Cricetulus griseus: one gene and its partners. The protein of the gene in region 2 interacts with the protein of the main gene of each other region in a pairwise test. Links are inferred from orthologs where the notes say so. Each region holds a gene or a part of one and is shown on either strand. Other genes may lie near its edges. The genes, in order: Lurap1, Thap7, Ccndbp1 and Mtus2.

What was found.
Region 1: the proteins of Thap7 (region 2) and Lurap1 interact in a two-hybrid assay, tested with the Homo sapiens proteins (2 studies listed by BioGRID and IntAct). The two-hybrid records come from large-scale screens. The link is inferred for Cricetulus griseus from reciprocal best matches to the Homo sapiens genes THAP7 and LURAP1.
Region 3: the proteins of Thap7 (region 2) and Ccndbp1 interact in binary tests that used the Homo sapiens proteins (3 or more experiments, as listed by UniProt). The two-hybrid records come from large-scale screens. The link is inferred for Cricetulus griseus from reciprocal best matches to the Homo sapiens genes THAP7 and CCNDBP1.
Region 4: the proteins of Thap7 (region 2) and Mtus2 interact in binary tests that used the Homo sapiens proteins (3 or more experiments, as listed by UniProt). The two-hybrid records come from large-scale screens. The link is inferred for Cricetulus griseus from reciprocal best matches to the Homo sapiens genes THAP7 and MTUS2.

What each region holds. Positions count from the first base shown.
Region 1 is NC_048595.1:36,197,249-36,202,244, forward strand, and holds the start of Lurap1 (leucine rich adaptor protein 1), read left to right. Parts: upstream 1-1,435; 5' UTR 1,436-1,460; coding exon 1,461-1,883; intron 1,884-4,996. UniProt on the Homo sapiens protein: Acts as an activator of the canonical NF-kappa-B pathway and drive the production of pro-inflammatory cytokines. Promotes the antigen (Ag)-presenting and priming function of dendritic cells via the canonical NF-kappa-B pathway.
Region 2 is NC_048597.1:71,783,998-71,789,064, reverse strand, and holds the start of Thap7 (THAP domain-containing protein 7), read right to left. Parts: upstream 3,141-5,067; intron 2,997-3,140; coding exon 2,917-2,996; exon of another isoform or gene 2,881-2,916; coding exon of another isoform or gene 2,816-2,880; intron 2,531-2,815; coding exon 2,375-2,530; intron 1,066-2,374; coding exon 925-1,065; intron 723-924; coding exon 173-722; 3' UTR 1-172. UniProt on the Homo sapiens protein: Chromatin-associated, histone tail-binding protein that represses transcription via recruitment of HDAC3 and nuclear hormone receptor corepressors.
Region 3 is NC_048599.1:57,429,543-57,434,558, reverse strand, and holds the start of Ccndbp1 (cyclin-D1-binding protein 1), read left to right. Parts: upstream 1-1,893; 5' UTR 1,894-1,981; coding exon 1,982-2,081; intron 2,082-2,209; coding exon 2,210-2,269; intron 2,270-2,513; coding exon 2,514-2,593; intron 2,594-5,016. UniProt on the Homo sapiens protein: May negatively regulate cell cycle progression. May act at least in part via inhibition of the cyclin-D1/CDK4 complex, thereby preventing phosphorylation of RB1 and blocking E2F-dependent transcription.
Region 4 is NC_048597.1:83,799,809-83,805,078, reverse strand, and holds the start of Mtus2 (microtubule-associated tumor suppressor candidate 2), read right to left. Parts: upstream 3,125-5,270; 5' UTR 2,756-3,124; intron 1,495-2,755; 5' UTR 1,392-1,494; intron 1-1,391. UniProt on the Homo sapiens protein: Binds microtubules. Together with MAPRE1 may target the microtubule depolymerase KIF2C to the plus-end of microtubules. May regulate the dynamics of microtubules at their growing distal tip.

The DNA of each region.
Region 1 (4,996 bases), on a different chromosome or scaffold from region 2:
CCAGCCTGGTCTACAGAGCCAGTGCCAGGATAGGCTCCAAAGCTACACAGAGAAAACCTGTCTTGAAAAACAAAACATACAAACAAACAAAAAAAACCCAAAACTCCCAACAACACAAAACACTAATGCACATAAAGTAAAACTGAAAAAAACCCAGAATAATAATAAAAAATAAATTTAGAATGAGTGGTAGAAGATTTGGATGGTTGGATTGGAGAGATGGCTTGGCAGTTATAGAGCACATATTGCTCTTACAGTAGGACCTGAGTTCAGTTCCCAACACCTGTATCAGACGGCTCACAATTGCCAGTAACTCTAACTCCAGGGGATCCAAGGCCCTCTTCTGACCTCTGGGGGAACCTGTACTTATGTGAATATTTCCATACAGAGACACATACATGTAGTAAATTAATATATATATATATATAGATAGATAGATAGATAGAGAGAGAGAGAGCAAATTAATAAATAAAACAAAAACAAACTACAGAACAATAACAAGCTGAAAGTAGGTTGCCTTTGGGAAGTGAGCCCAGAGGTGTGAAAGAGTAGAGGGAAGAGGTACTTTCTCATTGTAAATCTTTCTGTAATAGTGAACTGGAAGTAGAATTAAGTCCAAATGCTTAGAAATATATTGTTACTGTGTCCACAGACCAGAAGCATGGCCACCCCTGTAGCTTCTTAGGAGTGCAGACTCCCAGGGCTGGAGATGGCTCAGCACGCAATAATGACACACACTGCTCTCACAGAGAACCTGGGTTCAGTACCCAGCACAGCTCAGAACTGTTAAATCCAGCTTCCAGGGACCTGATGCTCTTCTGTGGCCTCCAGGCACCTGAACTTATGTGTACAAACCCTCAACTCACCTGAACATGAACAGGTAATTAAAATAGAAAATAAATCTTTTGAAAGGACTTTAATCCTTGTACTGTTGAGGAAGTGGCAGGTGGATCTCTGTGAGTTTCAAAGCCAGCCAGCCCACTTTACAAAGCAGGTTCCAGGCCAGACAGAACCACACAGTGAGACCCTCTGTGGGGACCCCACAACCCCCCACAAAAGGCAATGCCCTAACTTCACAAGGTTTTCAGATGAACCATATTTAGGTTGAGGAAGCACTTCTTTTGTAAGCCTAAGATCAAGACCCTGTGGATTCCTTCAATTTTAATGTTTTTTTTTTTCTCACTGGCCAGAGGGATTGATTGACCTCCTATTACATCTTCAGTCTGATTTCTAGGTGCTGGGAGGTATCTGTGAGCTGAGCAGCTATATTCTAGTATCTGTAACAGACACAGCTTTTAGCAGAAAGACTTCCAAACTCTCTGCAGTCGTGTTAGTGCGTACTGAAGTTGTCTTTTTGTTTAGCAAATATGTATTAGCTGCCTGTTGTGCGTTTAGCTGGCGTCAACAAAGGGAGAAAGCACTGAGCACCCATTGAGGTCTTCAGTTCCAAATTCAGTCGCATGCCATCCGAGGCTAGAAGTTGTGTGCGCAACACTCGGTATCTTTCTCTACCCAACTGCGCGGCTTTTCTGAGCGTTACGGCGCCCTCCTCCTGCCCCCAAGCGCCGCGCAGGCGGGGACCCACCGGTTTCGCTCCGGCTCCGTGTTCGCAGCGGAGAAGGGAGGACCCTAGGGACCTGGACCTCCGCGTCTGGTCGCCCAGCCCTGTTTTGGCTTGGGCCCACATGGAGGGGACTGCGGAGTCCCAGACGCCTGACTTGCGAGATGTGGAGGGCAAGGTGGGCAGGAAGACCCCCGAAGGGCTGCTCCGCGGGCTTCGAGGCGAGTGGGAGCTGGGATCCTCTGGGGACCTACTGCTCCCAGCGGCACCCAGCACCGGCCACGGCCTGGGGGACAAGATCATGGAGCTGAGGATGGAGCTGGTGAGCGTGGGTGCTACAGGCCACGGGCACGGGGTCCTCAGCATAAGGTCGTTTGTAGGGAAAGGCGCAGGTTCCAGGAGTTAGGCTGCCGAGGAGGGTCCCTCCTAGATCAATCCATAAACCCGGGGTTGAAAGTGGAGAGAAGTGACGTCTCATTACTTCATGACCTCTCACTCCCAAGGGTGAGTGAAGGGTTGGTAGATCCTGAGAACTGGGAGCAGTAGGCACAGCTCTTGGAACTTTCCCCTGCCCAATAATCGGGAGGAGGGAGGCGAGGGCTAAGCGGTACAAAAAACTTAGTTCAGCGCAAATTCTTACCATCGGCATCCAAGGCCACCAATTTCCTCATACCCCATTATAAGGCAACTGTTTTCTTTACCCACTCCTCCAACAAACTGGGGAAAGGTTTCTTTCCTAAGGCCCCAAGGTGTTCAAATCAGGCAAAAAAGATTTGATGAGGTAATTAATACTTGCTGAAACTGCCTGCATTAGGGGCACACTAAAAACGTCCTTTTCCCTAAGCATCCCACCATCGTGGTATTAAATATTCTAAGACCTTAACAGAGACAGTAGTGACACAGTTGGCTCTTCACCTGGAATTCAGTCTCCTTTCAGACTCCCAGGGTCTCACCTGTACCTTCTTGGGGACAAGGGAAGGAAACAGTATCACCTAGCCTTCCCTGGAGCTGTTGGTCTAGATTCTGAGCCAAAAAGGGCAGATGGGCCCCAGCGGCTCCCCCAGGGCCCTGGTTCCGGTGAAACAGATGAATTACACCTGCCACCACTTTGCAGCCAGTTCTGGAGAACTGAGGAATTGCCAGCTACTCATGGGCTAAGAACCAGAAGCCCACAGTGACTGAGCCAGTTAATAAGTCTTCTTGGGGCCCCACTGTGTGCTCTGCATTATGTCAAGCAGATCAGGAAGGGTGGAAGGAAGGACATGGGACCTCCAAGCCAGCCCAGGGCTCTCATTTTAGGCTAAGAAGCCTCCTGGGATGAGTGGTCAGAGAGTATTCATCTGATCCCTGGGGACAGGATATGAATGTCAAGTGTGTGTTTGGCCTTGGAGGTTGTAGTTGAATGCCAAATTCTCCAGAGCAGGCCTGTGACTGTATTCACCTCTGAAAGAAGCCTTGTTTGCCTCATGTACAAACTGCTCAAGACATAGAGCCTACCTAGTTTATCCTTTGCAAATTAAGTTGTTTTGTTTTGGCATTTTGAGATATGGGTTCACTATGTAGCTCAGGCTGGCCCCCCAACACATATTCCTCTTGTCTCAGCCCCTTGAGTACTGGGACTATGAGCATGTGCCACCATACCCAGCTGGAAACTAAAGTATACTGGGAATATAAGGCATGTATCAATGTCCAGCATGATACATGATATTTTTCTTTTTTAAGAATTTTAAGCCGAGCCAGGCGTTGGTGACACACACCTTTATTCCTAGTACTCGGGAGGCAGAGACAGGCGGATCTCTGAGTTCCAGGCCAGCCTGGTCTACAGAGCAAGTTTCAGGACAGCCTCCAAAGCTACAGAGAAAACCCTGCCTCCAAAAACCAAAAATAAATAAAATAAAAAACAAAGAATTTTAGGAATCTTTGTGTGGGAACATTTTGCCTGTGTGAATGTGTCTGTACCACATGCATGCCTGTTGCCCGGGGGTTAGAGAGAGCATCAGATTGCTTGCAACTGGAGTTGTGGGTGGTTGTGAGCCACTGTGTGGGTGCTGGGAACCTAACCTGGATCCTCTGCAAGAACAAGTGCTCGTGACTGTTAAGCTATCTCTCCAGTGCCATTTTTTTCTCCCTTGTACTGAACCTAGGGCTCTGCACACACAAGGTGAATGCTCTGCAGTTGAGCTGTACCACTGCTCCTACATGCTGTCCCCTTCACACTCAGGTAGCTAATGTTATACAGGAACTTAAGCAGCTGCCCACAGTCACTCAAAAAGTGAAGTCAGGATTTGAGCCCAGATTATTTGACCACACTGATCATGAAAACATGCTTTGTGGCAGACACTTTAAGGACATCTCATGTCATTGAAATACGTTTCAAATGTCTGTGGGCTTGCTTCTCATACAGGAAATCTGGAGGCAGGCCTAACCTCTGACTCTTGTTCCTTATAAACTTTAGGGGAGTAAATTTAGCTTCTGGTTTTAACTCTTTAACTTTTGGCCTGTCTGACCTGGGGTCTGAAGCTTCCCACAAACAGTGTTTTGGAGACCAGAAGAAGGAGAAGATCCATGTCAGGCTCCTTCCTCCCTCCTCAGGCCAAGATAGCATTGATTTCTTCTTGTACTCTGCTCTAACTGCTGGTTTACTGACACAGAAGGGCAGGGCAGGAGATTGGAGTCCTCGAAGGCAGAACTGACTCTCTAAGGATTGTCCTTCAGTTGTCCCTCTCTACTTTCCTCCTGCAGAAGGGGAGGCTGGCCCTCCAGGCCAAGGTCAACCGGGTTTTTGGCTTTCTGCTCTTGCTTTGTTTCCCTAGTCTGAAGTTGAGCGACAAGCCAGACTCTGAGATGTGTGGGGATGGCAGTGGCAGCGTCCACCCAAAGAGCTGTTGCTATGAGCAGCCACCTCCACAGAGCAGTTTATGGGAGCACAATAGGCAAGGAATGGGGGAAAGGCATGAGTTCAAATTTTGTCTCCTGATGTATTTTGTGGACTTAAGGAGGGTCCTGTCTCTTCCTTGCCCTTAGAGTTTTTTTGTCCTTTGATGGAGGAAATGAGGGCATGATCGTGGAACTAGACAACTGTTAATTTAGTGACAATAGTTAATCCCAACAGTCAGTTACCAGGGATCTAGAAACTGGTCTTCAGGCTTTTTTTTTTTTTCTTCCTGTTTGTGTATATATAGACAAGTGTTTGTCTATATATACAGTTTTTTTTATTAGTTCTAGTTAGGGAACAAGCTTGTTTCACATGTAAGTCCCTTCTCCCTCTCCCTCCCCTCACCCCCATCCCTCCTCCTGGTCTTCAGGCTTAACCTGAGCCTGATTTGGGTTGAGCAAAGAGGGAGCCCTGTCTAGGACACCTGGGCTGGGCAGAATCTGATCTACATATGGGGAATGGATGGGAGCCTCCAGGGGAAAACATTGGGTGGCCTCTAT
Region 2 (5,067 bases):
TGATCCCTCTGAGGCTTTGGCCATTGTCTAGGGAGGAGTCTGGCACCCCCCAGCTGAGCCAAACAGCAAGGTCTCTTTCTAGCATCCACTTTATTGTGACTTCCGGTCAGCCTGGTGGATGTAGTTCCAATCAAATACCTCTGAGGAAGAGAGACCAGAGCCTTGGGTGTCCTCATGCCATGCTATTGCTCAGCTGCAAAGCGAAGTCCTGTACATGGTCCTTCAGGGTCTGGCGGGCATCTGCCTGTGCCCTCTTCTCTCGTGCCCGTTCCTGCTGCAGCTTGGTCAGTCGAAGTCTAAGCCGCTGTTCCCTACGTTTGCAGGCCTGCAGCTGGCGCTGGGCCTTGTCCAGAGCATCAAGAGCTGCTTCAGCTCTCCTCTTCCAGAGCAAGGCACTCCCCACTTGGTAGCTGTGCTCATTCTGGATGTAGGCTCCAGCAGGTGGTGGCAGCCGCAACATGTAAGCAGATGGGGAGATAGGCCGTGGCTCAAGAGGGGAGGGGTGCTGCTCTGGTGAAGGCTGGGCACTACAGCCTGCTTCCTCTGCTTGGGCACCTACCGGGCCCAGAAGATCTGAGAAGGGGCTGTTAAGGCCAGGTTCCAGCCTCACAGCTGGGGATGCAGGCAGAGTGGCAGGCGCTGAGGCTTCTTCCACAGGGAAGCAGATGATGTCAGCAGGAGGTGGAGAAAACAGGGTTGTGGGTCCTTGACCTTCAGAGCAGCTGGAGGGGAGACAGAAACTGACTAGCCAACTAAGAGCATGCCAGGACCCTCATACACCCACTTACACTCCCTAACACCTGAGCCCCTTCACTGGGTCCAGGCAGCAAGAACCCTGTTCAGTGAAGATGCTGGCACTCACCCTACAGTTCAGTCCCTCAGCCCTGGGGGGAGGGTGGGGCATCTCCCTCCTTCAGCACATACCGCTTCCTGCATCGCCGGAGCCGGCTGACATCAGGCAGGCCAGGTGGATAACCATGCCCCTTGGTCTTGGTTGTTCGACGTAACTTGGAGAAAGACTCAAATATGGTGGGGACTGCCCCTTCCTTCAGCCTGTGATACCCACTGTGGGGAAAAGCAGCCCAGATGAGGTGGAAATAAAGTGCTGCCACTTCCCCTGGTCCCAACATAGCTCCCCTCAGCACTAGGGCTATGGGCTTCATGGCACACTGCCAATAATCTGAAGAATGCCAAGTTTGGTAGAATCCAACTAGTCTGCCCTGTGAATGAGCATCCAGACTTGAAGTGAATGGACAACGCCTCCCCACCCCCGCACGGCTAGGTGGACTAGTCAGAAGTCTCTCATTTGTGGGCCTGCTGGAAGAACTAGGGGCCAAATACCCCAGAGAAAAGCTATTTTACTTTTGTGTGGATATCAGAGGCCTTCTTAAAATTATTCTCCACCTGTTTTTAAAGATTTCTTTTTTCTCCTTAAAAACATTTATGTGTATGGGTGCTTTGCCTGTACATATGACTATCCACATGCCTGGTACCCACAGAAGTCAGAAAGAGCACTAGATCCCTGGAACTAGAGTTTACTGGCTTGTGAGCCACCATGTGGATGATGGCAAATGAACCCAAGTCGTCTGGAAGAAACCAGTATCTTTTTTGTTTTTCAAGACATGGTCTCTCTGTGTAGCTTTGGAGCCTGTCCTGGAACTCACTCTGTAGACCAGGCTGGCCTCAAACTCACAGATCCGCCTGCCTCTGCCTCCAGAGTGCTGGGTTTAAAGGTGACACCAGTGACAGCTTGAAGCCTCTTAACCTCTGAGCCATCTCACCAGCCCTATTTATGAGTATGAATGTTTTGCCTACATGTACAATGTGTATGTACCACCTGTGTGCCAGGGCCCTTAGAAGTACGAAGAAGGCAAGGGATATCCCTTGGTGCTGGGAATTGAACCCTGGTTCTCTAGAAGAGTAACAAGTGCTCTACATTGTTAAGCCATCTCTCCAGCTCACCCACATTTTTTCTATCTATCTATCTATCTATCTATCTATCTATCTATCTATCTATCTATCTATGAATGACAGTGTCCCCTTGAACACAGGTCTCAACAACTCATCTAGACTAGCTAGCTGGCAGGAGCCCTGGTATCTTTTAGTTTTGTCTTCTCCAGACCTGGGAAAACTGTCTTCCCAGCCGGGAAAGGCTGTTATTCTCGGATGCTACTGGCATGGTAATCCTGGGGCCATGCTTTACTGCACACAACTGGGAAGAGGTCACAGCACCCTCGACATAGGTGTGCCTGTCTGTGAGCGTGCCAGCCAGCCGTTCATGGGCTTCACCAGGGCACAGAGCCGCCCCACTTGCCACACTCACTGCTCTGATGCCTCACCACCTGTTCAAGTGTCATCTGGCAGAAAAACCCACCTGATTCCCACCAGCTCAAAGCAGTTTTCCTCGAAGTGTTTGGAGCAGAAGTAGATGTACTCAGAGGCCGGGTCCCACAGGCCCTGGCCGCTGGGGTCCAGCCGCTGACAGTTGGCCAGCCACAAGCCGCGCCTGGGGTTGTCTTTCTTGGGAAGTCTGCAGAGCCACAAAACCGTGAGCACCAGACTGCTGCAGCCCGCGATCAGGATGCCCAAGCTCCCCAGGCAAGAGGGGCAGACCTCCCCGCGACCCTTTCGGATTACCACCCGCTAGGAGTAAACTGAGGACGAGAGAAGGAAGGAACAGGGCCTGCTTAGCATCACCTAGCAGCAAAGAGTTAGAGCTCCAAGTCCAAGGCAAGAAAGCGCCCAGTCCTTTTCGGCTGGATTCGGGACTCCTCGACCGCCCTTCACCCTCCCGCTCACAAAGTTCAAGCCTCACTTCGACCTCAGGAAGGCGCTGTCTCCTGCGCGGCCTAAAGTGCAGCAACACCAGCGCCTGCGCATGTGAGCCCTCGCGTGCCACTACGCACGCGCGCTGACCTGTGGAAGGAGATGCCGCGGTTGCGAGTCTCGCGCGTATCCCGTGTGCAGCAGCCGGCGGCGGAGCAGTGTCGCGGCATCTGGGGAAGGGGTGGGAGCTGGGTCGTGGGCGGCAGCCGGGGGGAGGGGACTGCCTTCACGCCCCGCCGCCACTCCCTCCAGAGGGCCTGAACCTGCCGGCTCCCCCGCGGCCCGACCTCGTCCCAATCCCGTCCTAACTCGTTCTATAGACTCCCGTCAGCGGTACTCACGGTCTTGCCATTGCTGCGCCGCCAAAGTCTCGCGATGGGTGGGTCAATGCGGAAGTTGGGAGCGTAGGGACTCCGTAGCGGGCTGCGACTGCCCTCAAGGGGCGGGACCGGAAGAGATCCTGGCGGGCCGGCCACCGGATGTTGGGAGTGCGGGCCGATCGTTGCCGCTGAGGTGCTTGAGATCCCCGGAGCGGCCGTGTCCTCGCTCCCTTGTTTTGTTTGTGTATCCAGGGTGACTACCGAGCGCTCGCCGTTAGGACTAAGCAGCCCCGGTGCGATCTGTAGTGCTCCCTGACACTCTGGTTGAAAGAAGATTCACCACCAAGAAAAATCTGGGCTCTTGCCTGAAAGAACCCCGCCAAGGGCCCTGGGTGACTCGGCACTTTCTGCCAACCCTGAGGATCCGAGTTTGATTTCCCTGCCCGCCATGGTTAGAAGGGAAGAACCAATGCCCACTAGTTGTCCTCTGACCCCCACATATCGCACGTGTGCATGCATGCGTATGCACAAGATAAAACGTAAAGACAAAAAAGAGTTCTTAAAGTAACGGAATTAACTGCGTCAGCAGAGGGACTGCAAACACGGCCAGGAGGGTCTGAGCCCACTGGGATTTTACCGCTGTCTCAGGAGAAACCTGGCACTCCCAGCTGGGCCAGGCAACAGGATCTCTTTCTAGCATCTACTTTGTGACATTAGCAGTCCTGGAGGGTCCATTTTAGATCAAGGTCTTTAAACCAGTGCTCAAAACTGAGTGCAATCTGGGGACATAAACATTTGCCAGCCGAGGAGGAAAGCTAATGTAGAAACCTAGGTTTCTACAGCTTGGGTGGAACCCCAGCTGCGTTCACACGCGGTGTGAGGGACTTCATTCTTCAATTTAAAACAATGTGTGTTGCCCCAATTGACTTATCTTGTTAGTAACTGAGCATATAGATATGCCTATTAATGTCTTAGAGAAAACAAATGTATTTGCTGCAGAGGAATTTAGTAGTTGGCCCTTCCAAGAAAGGCAGCTATCTAGACAGGGAACTTTGTTTTTTGTCTTGTTTTGTTTTTAAAGTACTGTATGAAGTAAAAGTAATGTTAACAGTAGGGGGGGAGATAAAGATATAACTGCCAGCCACATAGCTGCACTCAGTATTCCCCCCCCTCATTCTGCAGAATCCACAGCCATCTCTTAATAACCCTTCCCCGAGGCTGCCAGGTCCTCTGGACCTCAGAGAACACCCCTCCACACCTGCTGTCACATAGATGTGCGTAAAGGCCTCTCTGGCATGCATGAGGTTGAACTTGTGATTTAGGTGAGCCCAGGCCTCTTCAGTGGCAGTTGTTTTGCTGAGCATACACATGGCCTGCTGTTCCTTGGCCAGGTCTCCCCCAGGGACCATAAAGGGGGGCTGGTAGTTAATGCCTGCCTATCAGAAAAAAGGAAAATACAGTGGAGTTTATATTGGCCTTATAAATGACAGTTTGTTAAAAAGTTGAGAACTGTGGACCCACTTTGAACTGTAAAAGCTAGTATTATACTTTTGAAAATAACTAACATTTAACATTCTTTTAAAATTTCATGTTTCAGATTCACCCACACAGACACACACACAAAAAATTAAGGTTGTATGTGGGACAGGAGAGATGGCTCAGTGGTTAAGAGCACTGGCTGCTCTTCCAGAGGTCGAGATCCTGAGTTCAATTCCCAGCAACCACGTGGTGGCTCACAACCATCTGTAATGAGATCTGGTGCCCTCTTGGCCTACAGGCATATGTGCAGACAAAACACTATATATATAACAAATAAGTAAATCTTTTTTAAAAAAGGTTGTATGTGATTGAATCACTAATGTCAAAATAGAAATAGAGCCAGTGAAAGCATTACACACCCATACAGTCCAACATGTGAGAA
Region 3 (5,016 bases), on a different chromosome or scaffold from region 2:
AACATCCCCTTGATGGCTTACCTATGTTGGAGCTTGCTGCAGCGGTGCTTTGGTCATAGCTTCAGGTCTCATCTCTACCAAGGAAAACACTTGAATATTATACCTGTTTATCTGCTTATGCTTCCATTGTACATATGGCAGATTTATTCTTGCTACTTTCTTCATGTGACTTACGGCACCCTAGCCTTTTTATTCTCCCCAATGCGGACCTGGTTGACATTGCTGACACCTGTACTCATTCGTTGTGTGTGGACATTGAACTCCACTGAACTTGGAACATTCATGGTGCAGTTAAAAAGCCATCTAAGCTCCTGAAGTCCATGGCTTACAGCTGGCAGCATGGCAGAAGTTCAGCCTCCACATTTGTAGCCAGATCTCTGCGCCTGTGGCAGATGGAAAGCCAATGTCAGCATGTCAGCAGGTGGGCTTCAGGAAGCTGTCCCTCCCTGAACATCTGTATGTTGGAAGTGTTAACTACTGATTCCTGCAGTGTGGACTGCAGAATCTAACAACCGATTCTTTCTTCCTCAGGAGGCAAAGAGCCCTGATCACAGAGATTCCAAAGGTGGGAGTCTCTGTTACTCAAGTACCTCAGAACTACTGTGTTTGTTAGGGTCATCCTGTGAAAAGCATCCAGCCCAAGCCCGGAATCCAGAAGGTGTCCAGAGTGCCATTTTATGCCTAGGGAACCTGTGGAGACTTGGGCTGGACCTTGACCACTCTAGAAACATTACTTCCCAGCCTGTTTTCCCACGGATTATGGGTTTTCTGCTTCCTTAGTTGGGGCCGTTTTTAACTAATCAAATAAATGAATGAATGATAAATATCACGAATGTTGGGCTGGAAAAATAGCATGGTAGTTAAGAGCATGTACTTCACGCTGGGCAGTGGTGGCACACACGTTTAGTCCCAGCACTTGGGAGGCAGAGGCAGGAGGATCTCTGTGAGTTCGACACCCGCCTGGTCTACAAGAGCTAGTTCCACAACAGCCTCCAAAGCCACAGAGAAACCCTGCCTCGAAAAACTAAAAAAAAAAACAAAAAAAAACAAAAAAAAAAACATGTACTTCCTGAGTTCAATTTCCAGCAACTATGTCAGGTGGCTCCAGGTTAGAGCCTCTGTGGGTCCTTTGCATTCATGTGTGCACAGACTTATACATAGCATAATAGAATATAAATATTAAAAGAAAGATCGGGGCTGGAGAGATGATTCACTGATTAAGAGCATTGGCTGCTCTCCCAGAGGACCCTGGTTCAATATCCAGCACCCACATGGCAGCTTTCTATAACTCCAGTTCTAGGGAATCTGACACCCTCACACAGACATACATTCAGACAAAACACCAATGCATATAAAAATTTTTTAAAAAACTAAAAAGAAATACCACACGGATCTGTACTGTAGCTAAACATTGGAACCATGGTGTCTGGGGCTTGGAGAAAGAGTCACAACGGGGATGTCACAGGCAGACTTGCCAGCAAAAAACTCAAGACACATAAAATGGCAAAAAAAAAAAAAAAAAAAAAGTGGTCAGGTCTCTAGTAGGTCAGAGAACGCATGGCTGGGTCTTTAGAAGGCGTGGCAGGTGTGGCAGGGTGTCAAGGTGGGGTGGGGGAGAGGGGCAGGGCCGGGCGCCTGGACCCGAGTCCCAGTCTGTAGGCCTGCTGGGAACCGGCAGCCTGGTGAAGGAGGAGTGTCTGAGTCTCTAGGCCCCGCAGGGGAGCTGTGGGCGGGTCTCTAGGAAAGGGAGGCGTGGCCTGATCTCTAAGTGGATCGGGCAAGAGTAGGCGGGTCTGTAGGCGGAGGGAGGCGTGGCCTGACGGCCTGGCTGTCCGGGAAGGCGGGGTCGCGTCACTGAGGAGGAAGGGGCGGGGCGTGATGTGTCTTGCCGGAAGCGAGAGGTGTTTTCGGCACCGGAAATACAGCGGCAGGGGCCGAACGGCTTAAGCGTCCTAGCTAAGGTACGCTGTGAGACGCTGTGATGGCGAGTTCGGCAGCCGCAGCCTCCTTCCTTGCTCCGACTCTGGAGCAGCTCCGGCACCTGGCAGCGGAGCTGCGGTCACTTCTGCCTCTAGTGAGGGGTGAGTTGTGGGAATCTGAGGCCCGGGGCTCCGGGTAGGGCGGCGGTCGGGCGTCACGTCAGGTGACGTGTCTTTTGCTCACCTGTCTTTTGCTTTGGTGGTCCGGCCTCCCACGCTACACCCTCAAGTCGGCGAAGCCCAGGAGACAGCCGAGGAATTTAATCGAGAGATGTTCTGGAGAAGACTTAGTGAGTTTCTCTGCCGTTGCAGACTCTTCCCTCCTCACTCCTGCCTCCTAACCTCTTTCCCCTCTGTTGTCCCAAGAGGAGGTGACAATCCCTCCCGGCCTCGGGACGATTTCTGGAGTTGTTTTGGAGTTGTTTATGATGATAAGGGTGGAGAAGGGATGCGTTATCTTAAAAAATCCGTGTAGTGGTTGCAGCTTCCACCTTTAACACTAACTTTGGTATCCGCCGCCTCTACCACCCCCAGATGAGGCAGCAGTGAACCTGTCAGGGGAAGCCACGATTCTGACCACACTTTTCTCCCGACTTCCACTGCCGTCTCCACGGGTGAGCTTTACTTCCTGGGATTTGTGTGCTGCCTCTAGTTTTCTTGTCACCCTTTACCCTCAAGCCACGTTTATTTTCTTCATTTATTTAATGAGATTATAGTTCTTACCGCATAGGATTGTTGTGAGGACCAAATAGCCAAGTGCAAACGGTAGAAAGGTCTTTCAAATTCAGTCAGGTTAGTTCCTCGGAATTTTAAAAGCTCTTTTTGATTTATAGCTGTTTCTCATACATACTCCCCATCTGACAGATGAGCTAGTAAGTTTAGAGACTTGGATCAAGATTAATAAATGGTGGAGGTGGAGTTAAAAGCCTACAAAGTATCTAAGCAACAGCTATTGCACAATACCCTTTAGTATTAAACTGTTTACCTTTTTATTTAATTACTAATATGTGGATAAAGTTCAAAAGATACCAGAGTACACTAAAATACATGTATATATCTTCCCACCCCAGTTTATCTTTCTATTTCGTTCCCATTTCCTTCTGTATTACTCCATACAATTTGTTCTATGTATATATACATCGCTCTGTGTGTGCTTCTTTTTACACAGTGGTTAGATACTATAAGCATTGTTCTAGACCTTTTAAAAAGTAATATAGCTTAGAAGTTGACTTTTTTTTTTTTTTTTTTTTTTTTTTTTTGGTTTTTCGAGACAGGGTTTCTCTGTGGCTTTGGAGACTGGAACTAACTCTTGTAGACCAGGCTGGCCTCAAACTCACAGAGATCCGCCTGCCTCTGCCTCATGAGTGCTGGAGTTAAAGGCATGGGCCACCACCATCCAGCTAGAAGTTGATTCTTAATGACACATAAAAAAGTTGCTTAGTTCTTTGTAATACTTGATGTAGAGTAACTATAGCTATAAACAATAGCCCAGGTGGACATTTTAAACTGTTTCTAACTTGCAACTATTGTAAATGGCACTGTAGTGAATTGTCAGTTATAATCTTTGCATACATATATGTATTAATAGAAAAAAATTCCAGAGGTGAACTTACAGGAACAAAGAATTAATGCATTTTAAATAATCGTTTATTATGTAACCAAAAGTAAAGCTGGATATTGGCTGTGATCAACCAACATGTGAATGCCCTGTGCCATATTTTTCTAGAGCTACATGTACTTCAGAGTAGTTTATTTTTTTGTTAAATGTTTATTTCATGTCTATGAGTATTTTGCTTGCATGTATGTGCATATGAATTCTGTGCTTAGTATCTATCCATGGAGGCCAGAAGAGGGCACTGGATTCTCTGGAACTAGAGTTAAGGATGGTTGTGAGCTTCCATGTGGGTGCTGGGAACTGAATCTGGGTCCTCTATAAGAGCAGCCAATGCTCTTAACCTCTGAGCCATCTCTCCAGCCCAAAGAGTAGGTTATTTTATGACGACATAGTCGTTGCCTCAATTTTCATAGTAGTTTCAATAACTATGTATCCAGATGTTGTATTTTTGTTTATTTTTTCACTCACATATAACTATACAAATACTCTACTACTGAGCTACACATGCATGAATGTTTTCTTTTGGTTTTATTGGTTTTCTAGAGACATGGTTTCTCTGTGGAGCTCTGGCTGTTCTGGAACTCACTCTGTAGATCAGGCTGGCTTTGAACTTGGAGATCTGTCTGCCTCTGCCTCCTGAGTGCTGGTATTAAAGGTGTGCGCCACCACCTAGTATGAATGTCTTAATGTGATAGAAAGTTCCTTTTACAACATAAAATTATAAAAATACATACCCCTCTTTCCTGTACTTTTTGTTGTGTTTTTTTTTTTTTTTTTGTTTGTTTGTTTTTCCAGACAGGGTTTCTCTGTGTAGCTTTGGAACCTATCCTGGCACTTGCTCTGTAGACCAGGCTGGCCTCGAACTCACAGAGATCCACCTGCCTCTGCCTCCCTAGTGCTGGGATTAAAGGCATGAGCCACCGACGCCTGGCTCTTTTTGGTTTTTTGAGATAGGGTTTCTTTGTGTAGCTCTGGCCATCCTGGAACTAGCTGTATAGACCGGACTGGTCTAGATCTCAGAGATCCATCTGCCTCTGCCTCTGCCTCTGCCTCTGCCTCCTGAGTGCTGGTACTGGGATTAAAGGTGTGTGCCACTACTGCCTGTCCCCTGTGTATCTTAAAACAATGGTTTTCAAATTGTGGGTCACGACCCTTTTGTTACGGTGAGACAACAGGCGTCATAATAGCAGATATCTAGCATATCAAATATTTACATTATAATTCATAACATTAGCAATGAAAATATTTTTATGGTTGGGGCTACCACAACATAAGAAACTGTATTAAAGGGTCACAGCATTAAGAAGAACCACAGTCTTGAGCAATTTGGCAGTAAGAAAAAAAGATAAATTGTATGACAGCAAGCAAAGACGTAGTAATTGCCTGATTCAGTAGTTGGGCTGTATTCAACAAAAGACCAGG
Region 4 (5,270 bases), about 12 Mb from region 2:
GACCGAGGCAAAAGGATTTCAAGTTTGAAGCCTGAGCCACATGGTGAGACCGACCTCAACCAAACAAGGCTGTTTCTACAAAGCACTCTTGGAGGGAATGCTATGTCTTCCCAGGAAAATTCTTTGTTTTTCTGCTGAAACAAAGTCAGTGTCTGTGGATATACCGAAATCTCTACCTGACATGCATGAAAGCTAAGCTATGATCTTCTGGGAGCTTCCAGAAAGGCATTTGCTTTCCTGGGAAGAAGGTTGCTCATTGTTCACCAACCGGTCCTCACTGGCTGAGCCTAAGACTCTGAAATGGCATAAGGCAGCAATAGCTATGATGTGACAATTTTATAAATTAACTATGAAATTGTCCCTCACAAGCTCATGTGTTGAAATGCTTGAATACCAGCCTGGTGCAGTTTGGGGAGGTTGTGAATTGTTTTTAACTTCATTTTTTTTGTTTGTTTTTTTTTTGGGGGGGGGGCGTTGGTTTTGGTTTTGGTTTTTCCAGATAGGGTTTCTCTGTGGTTTTGGAGGCTGTTCTGGAACTCACTTTGTAGACCAGGCTGGCCTTGAACTCACAGAGATCCACTTGCCTCTGCCTCCTGAGTCCTGGGATTAAAGGTGTGTACCACCACTGCCCGAATTAACTTCATTTCTTTTTCTGAGAATTTCATATATGAGTACTGTATTTCCATCATTTTGACCTCCCTCTAACTTCTCCCATGTCCCCTCTCCCCCACTGACTATCAAATTCATGACCTTTTTTAATTATTAGACATACACACACAAACCCAATCCATTTAGTACTGTTCATATGTACATGTATTTAGTGTTGACCACTTGGAATTGGATAACCTATCAACCAGGACCTTGGAAGAGTGATTAGGCCCCCTTACCCACACCTTTAAAGTGAAAAAAAAAAAAAAAGATATAATAATCAGACTGGTCTAAGGTAGTTTGTCGTGGCAGCCTAAGCAGGTTAATACACAGCCATTCTGTAGAGAGGACAGGACATCACTTTCTTCATTCAGCTACCTTATATGAATGCAAGGGCTACCCAGAGAGATACAGAAAGAAAATGCCTGTCTGTATTGGTCTCAGACACATCTGCCATGTAATAGCAGACTGCCAATGACCTACAGACCTATAGACCTACAGTCCATCACAAATAAGAAGTTGTATAACCAGAAGGAAGTGGATTCTGCCAACAACCAGGAACACTGGAGGAGCTCCAAGCTCCATCTAAGAGCCAGCCTGGCTGATGGCCACATTATGGCCTGTGGAACAGGTCCAGCTAAGCCATGCCTGAACTCCACAACTGTGGGAACATAAGATAGCGAAGGGTTTTATGCCACAAAGTGTATGGTCACTAGATACATAGCAAGAAGGCTAACGCATACCTGCTGATGGATTTTCTGTATCCCAGGGTCAGAGAAGGAAGTAAGGCAGGTGACATTCATATGACTCTAAGCCAAGCACGCTCATTGACACCCAGGAGTCCCACTGGACCAGAGAAAAGAAAGACAAGTTATGATATGTGGAACCCTACCACCCTCAAACAAATTTTCTCTCAAGGTTTGATGGAGTAGAACCACAGCATAATTTGAGAAACACTATCAAGCCGACCAAAAATTGGCTTCACCCTCTGTCCTGGCTGTCAATTTGATACAACCTACACTCAACTGGAAAGAGGGAACATCAACTGAGGGACTGCCTGAATCAGATTGGTTGATTAAAGTGAGAGGGCCTAGCCCACTGTGGGTGGTACCATCCCTAGGCAGATGAATGAAGGATGCTATAGAAAGATAGCTAAACATAAACATGAGCCCGAGCCTGAGCCTGGGTCAGAGAGTGAGTCAGCAAGCAGCATTCCTCTCCAGAGTTTATTTGAGCACCTCCCTAGAGTTCCTGCCCTGACTTCACTTACTGACAGTTTGTAACCTGGAAGTGTAAGCCAAATAAATCCTTTCCTTCCCAAGATGATTTTGGCCAGTGTTTTATCACAGCAACGGAAAAGCAAGCCAGTACACCTTGCTATCTTGAAATCTCAGACATCCATCGGCAGGAGGTATCTCTATGCAATAATAAGTATCCTGGGATCATTCTTTTAAAACACGTATGCCTGAGCCCCACCCATGACCCTGCAGTCAAGTCTGTATTCTTATAAAAGACACTCATATCCGGGAACTAGCCACAGCAAAACATCAACCCAAATGCATTCCATAAAGTGAGGTGTCAGACACAGAAAAACAAACACTGCACACCCACTCATACATGTGGAAGCTAAAAACTCCAGGTCACTAGAACAGAAAGTAGAACGATTACCAAGGGACAGGAGTGAGCATCAGGGAAGGACAGGGACGGGGAGGGGGTGGTTGACAGGTACAGTTGCATAGAAGAACTCTGAACATTCAGGAACCCAACAGACACTATGGTTGACATTGGTAATTGAATATGCCAAAACAAAAAACAAAACAAAACAAAAAACCGGATCTGTTTCTGTTTCCATGCTGTGTTGCTGCCATGAGGACCAGCCTTCAGCAGCTCAGGATTTGAGGGGGAGCCATGAAATCGAGCAGACTAATCACACAATTGACTTTTCTATCTGAGGATGTAAAACTTAATTTTGGGGGGCTGGTCATTGGGGCAAACTTAACTCCCTGGGGCTGGCGAAAAAGGAAAACACACACACACACACAAACACACACACACACCCTTTAGAGTCTTTCTATCATATCTCTCTTTTATCTCTTTCTTTTCTTACCTCTATCCAGATGTATCCCTTCTGTGTATTCTTAATTTATATCCCTTACAGCTTATTTGCCCAGTCAGAATCTTTCAAGCAGTATAAAAATTACACTGTGGTGACATTCTATTTTTCAAGTGAACAACTGCAGTGAATACAAGAAAGAAAAAAAAAAAAAAAAAGCATGTTTCCCATTTCCCTTACACGATTATATCATGTATTACAGGTGAAAAACAAATTATCTCCAAAACCCCACACACATTCATGTCCAAGCAACTTCTTATAGATTAAGCATGCAAGATACTTTTCTCAGCCAGTTCTTTTGCTGGCAGGCTGCATTTTTTCAGTTACAAGGAAAAGATCGATTGCTTTATTATTTATCTTAAAAGCAAGAGCTACATCCCAGGAGCTCCCAGAATGACCTGCAGGCTCAGAGTCTCCTTCCACCAGCCTTTGTTACTTCTTAGATAACCTTGGGTAACAGCCTTGGGAATCTTGTAAGTTTCAGGAACTTCACAAGCCTTGTAAGTTTTGTTTACTTCCGGAGTCTGAAGTTGCCTCCCTCCTGACCAAATGTTTGAATTAGGAGGTTATTGGTGTACAACATCCCAATACAAAGACATGATGTCAAAGGTTGTGGGTATGCCATTCCCTTCATGTGACCATGCTGACCTATATGTCTATTAAATGTCATAATATGCACAATTATGTACCAATTATTGTTAAACATCACTTTAAACCCATTCTAGATACAATTGGAATTATGCAATCAAGTGCTCACATTTTCTGTTTATTTTAATCTCTGCACTAGAAAGAGCCCTTCTCCCCTTGAGGTCAGCCCGGATTCCCAGTCCTATCCTGAAGCCATCTCTGCCTCCATGTTCTCTATTGGAGGTTGTTGCCAGCTCTCAGGTCAATGTGCAACCTGTTCATTTTGTCCCAGTGCGGGCACCACGGACCTGCTGCCCTCCCCCTTCGGCTGTGCCCAGCTAATTAATACCTGCTGCTACCAGGCTCCAGGCACAGGTCAATCCCCTCTGCTCCATGTCTTTCTTAGGTTTCTCTTGCTCTTATAAAACCCCATGACCAAAAACAACTTGGGGAAGAAAGGGCTTATTTCAGTTTACACTCCATCAGAAAGGAAAGTCAAGGCAGGAACTAAAGCAGAGGCCACAGAGGAATGATGCTTACTGGCTTGCTCTCCAAGGCTTGCTGGACCAGGGATGACATCACCCGAAATCGGCTTGGCCCTCTCACATCCACCACTAATTAAGAAAACGTAGCTGAAACTTGCCTACTGGCCCTTCCCATGGAAATATTTTCTCATGGAAGTTTCTTCTTTCCAGACTCTGGAGATCTGAAAGGGGACGTGACCTGGAGAAAGGGGAGGTGACCTGGAGAAGCTCTCTGAGACTCAGTTTACCTCTGACAGCTCTACCCTCCCCTGACAAGATGGGGATGTGAAAGACTGCCAAGCATGCCAGAGTATCAATGATGCCTCACTCCACCTGGTGTCACTTGGTCAGGCCTTGGCATTCCCAGCTGTGACCTCTGCTCCCACTACCCTCAACACATACCCGTACACCTCCCTCAGTGCACATGAGTTCCTAGTAACACTTGCTTCAGACATACCTGACTAGTTCGTGCCGAGCCATCGCTCCAGCTCACTAATTTACATCTTGATGGACCTTTGGCTATTCTACTCATCTTTCTTAGTGCAGTGAGATAAATATTTGAAATACAAAAGATGGCATGTATTGACTTTTCAGATTATGAGACCACTCCACAGAGAACATGTTTTCTGTCAGTGATTTAAGGGAGGAGAGGCGCCTAGCATTTTATTTTTGAAAGTGGAGCACTTTCCAGTTAAAATTGCCATTCTAGCAGGGCATTGGTGGCGCATGCCTTTAATCCCAGCACTCGGGAGGCAGAAGCAGGAGGATTTCTGTGAGTTCGAGGCCAGCCTGGTCTCCAGAGCGAGTGCCAGGATAGGCTCCAAAGCTACACAGAGAAACCCTGTCTCGAGAAATAAAAAAATAAAAAATGAAATAAATAAAATAAAAAATAAAATAAAACTGCTATTCTAACCACAGATTATATATGACGTATATAATTCCTTTTGGTCTATTAAAAAAAAAAAAAAAAGGACTGGTCAGGGATACAGCTATGGCTCAGTGGTTAAGAGCACTGGCTGCTCTTGCAGAGGACCTGGGTTTGCTTCCCAGCAACCAAATGGCAGCTCACCACCATCTGTAACTCCAGGTCTAAGGGATATGATGCCCTCTTCTGGCCTCTTCTGGCATTGCATGCATGTGGTGTACAGACATACATTCAGGCAAGCCTTCATACACAATTTAAAACAAAAACAAACAAACAAACAAACAAACAAACAAAAAACTAAAATTACCAGTCATCTTATCGTTTGTCTTTTACAGTTCCCACCTCCATTTCATGTACCTTCCTAATAACGGTGCAAGGAAGAGGATAACTGACAACCGGAACTGAGTCCCTGCTCACCCAGGTCCAACACAGC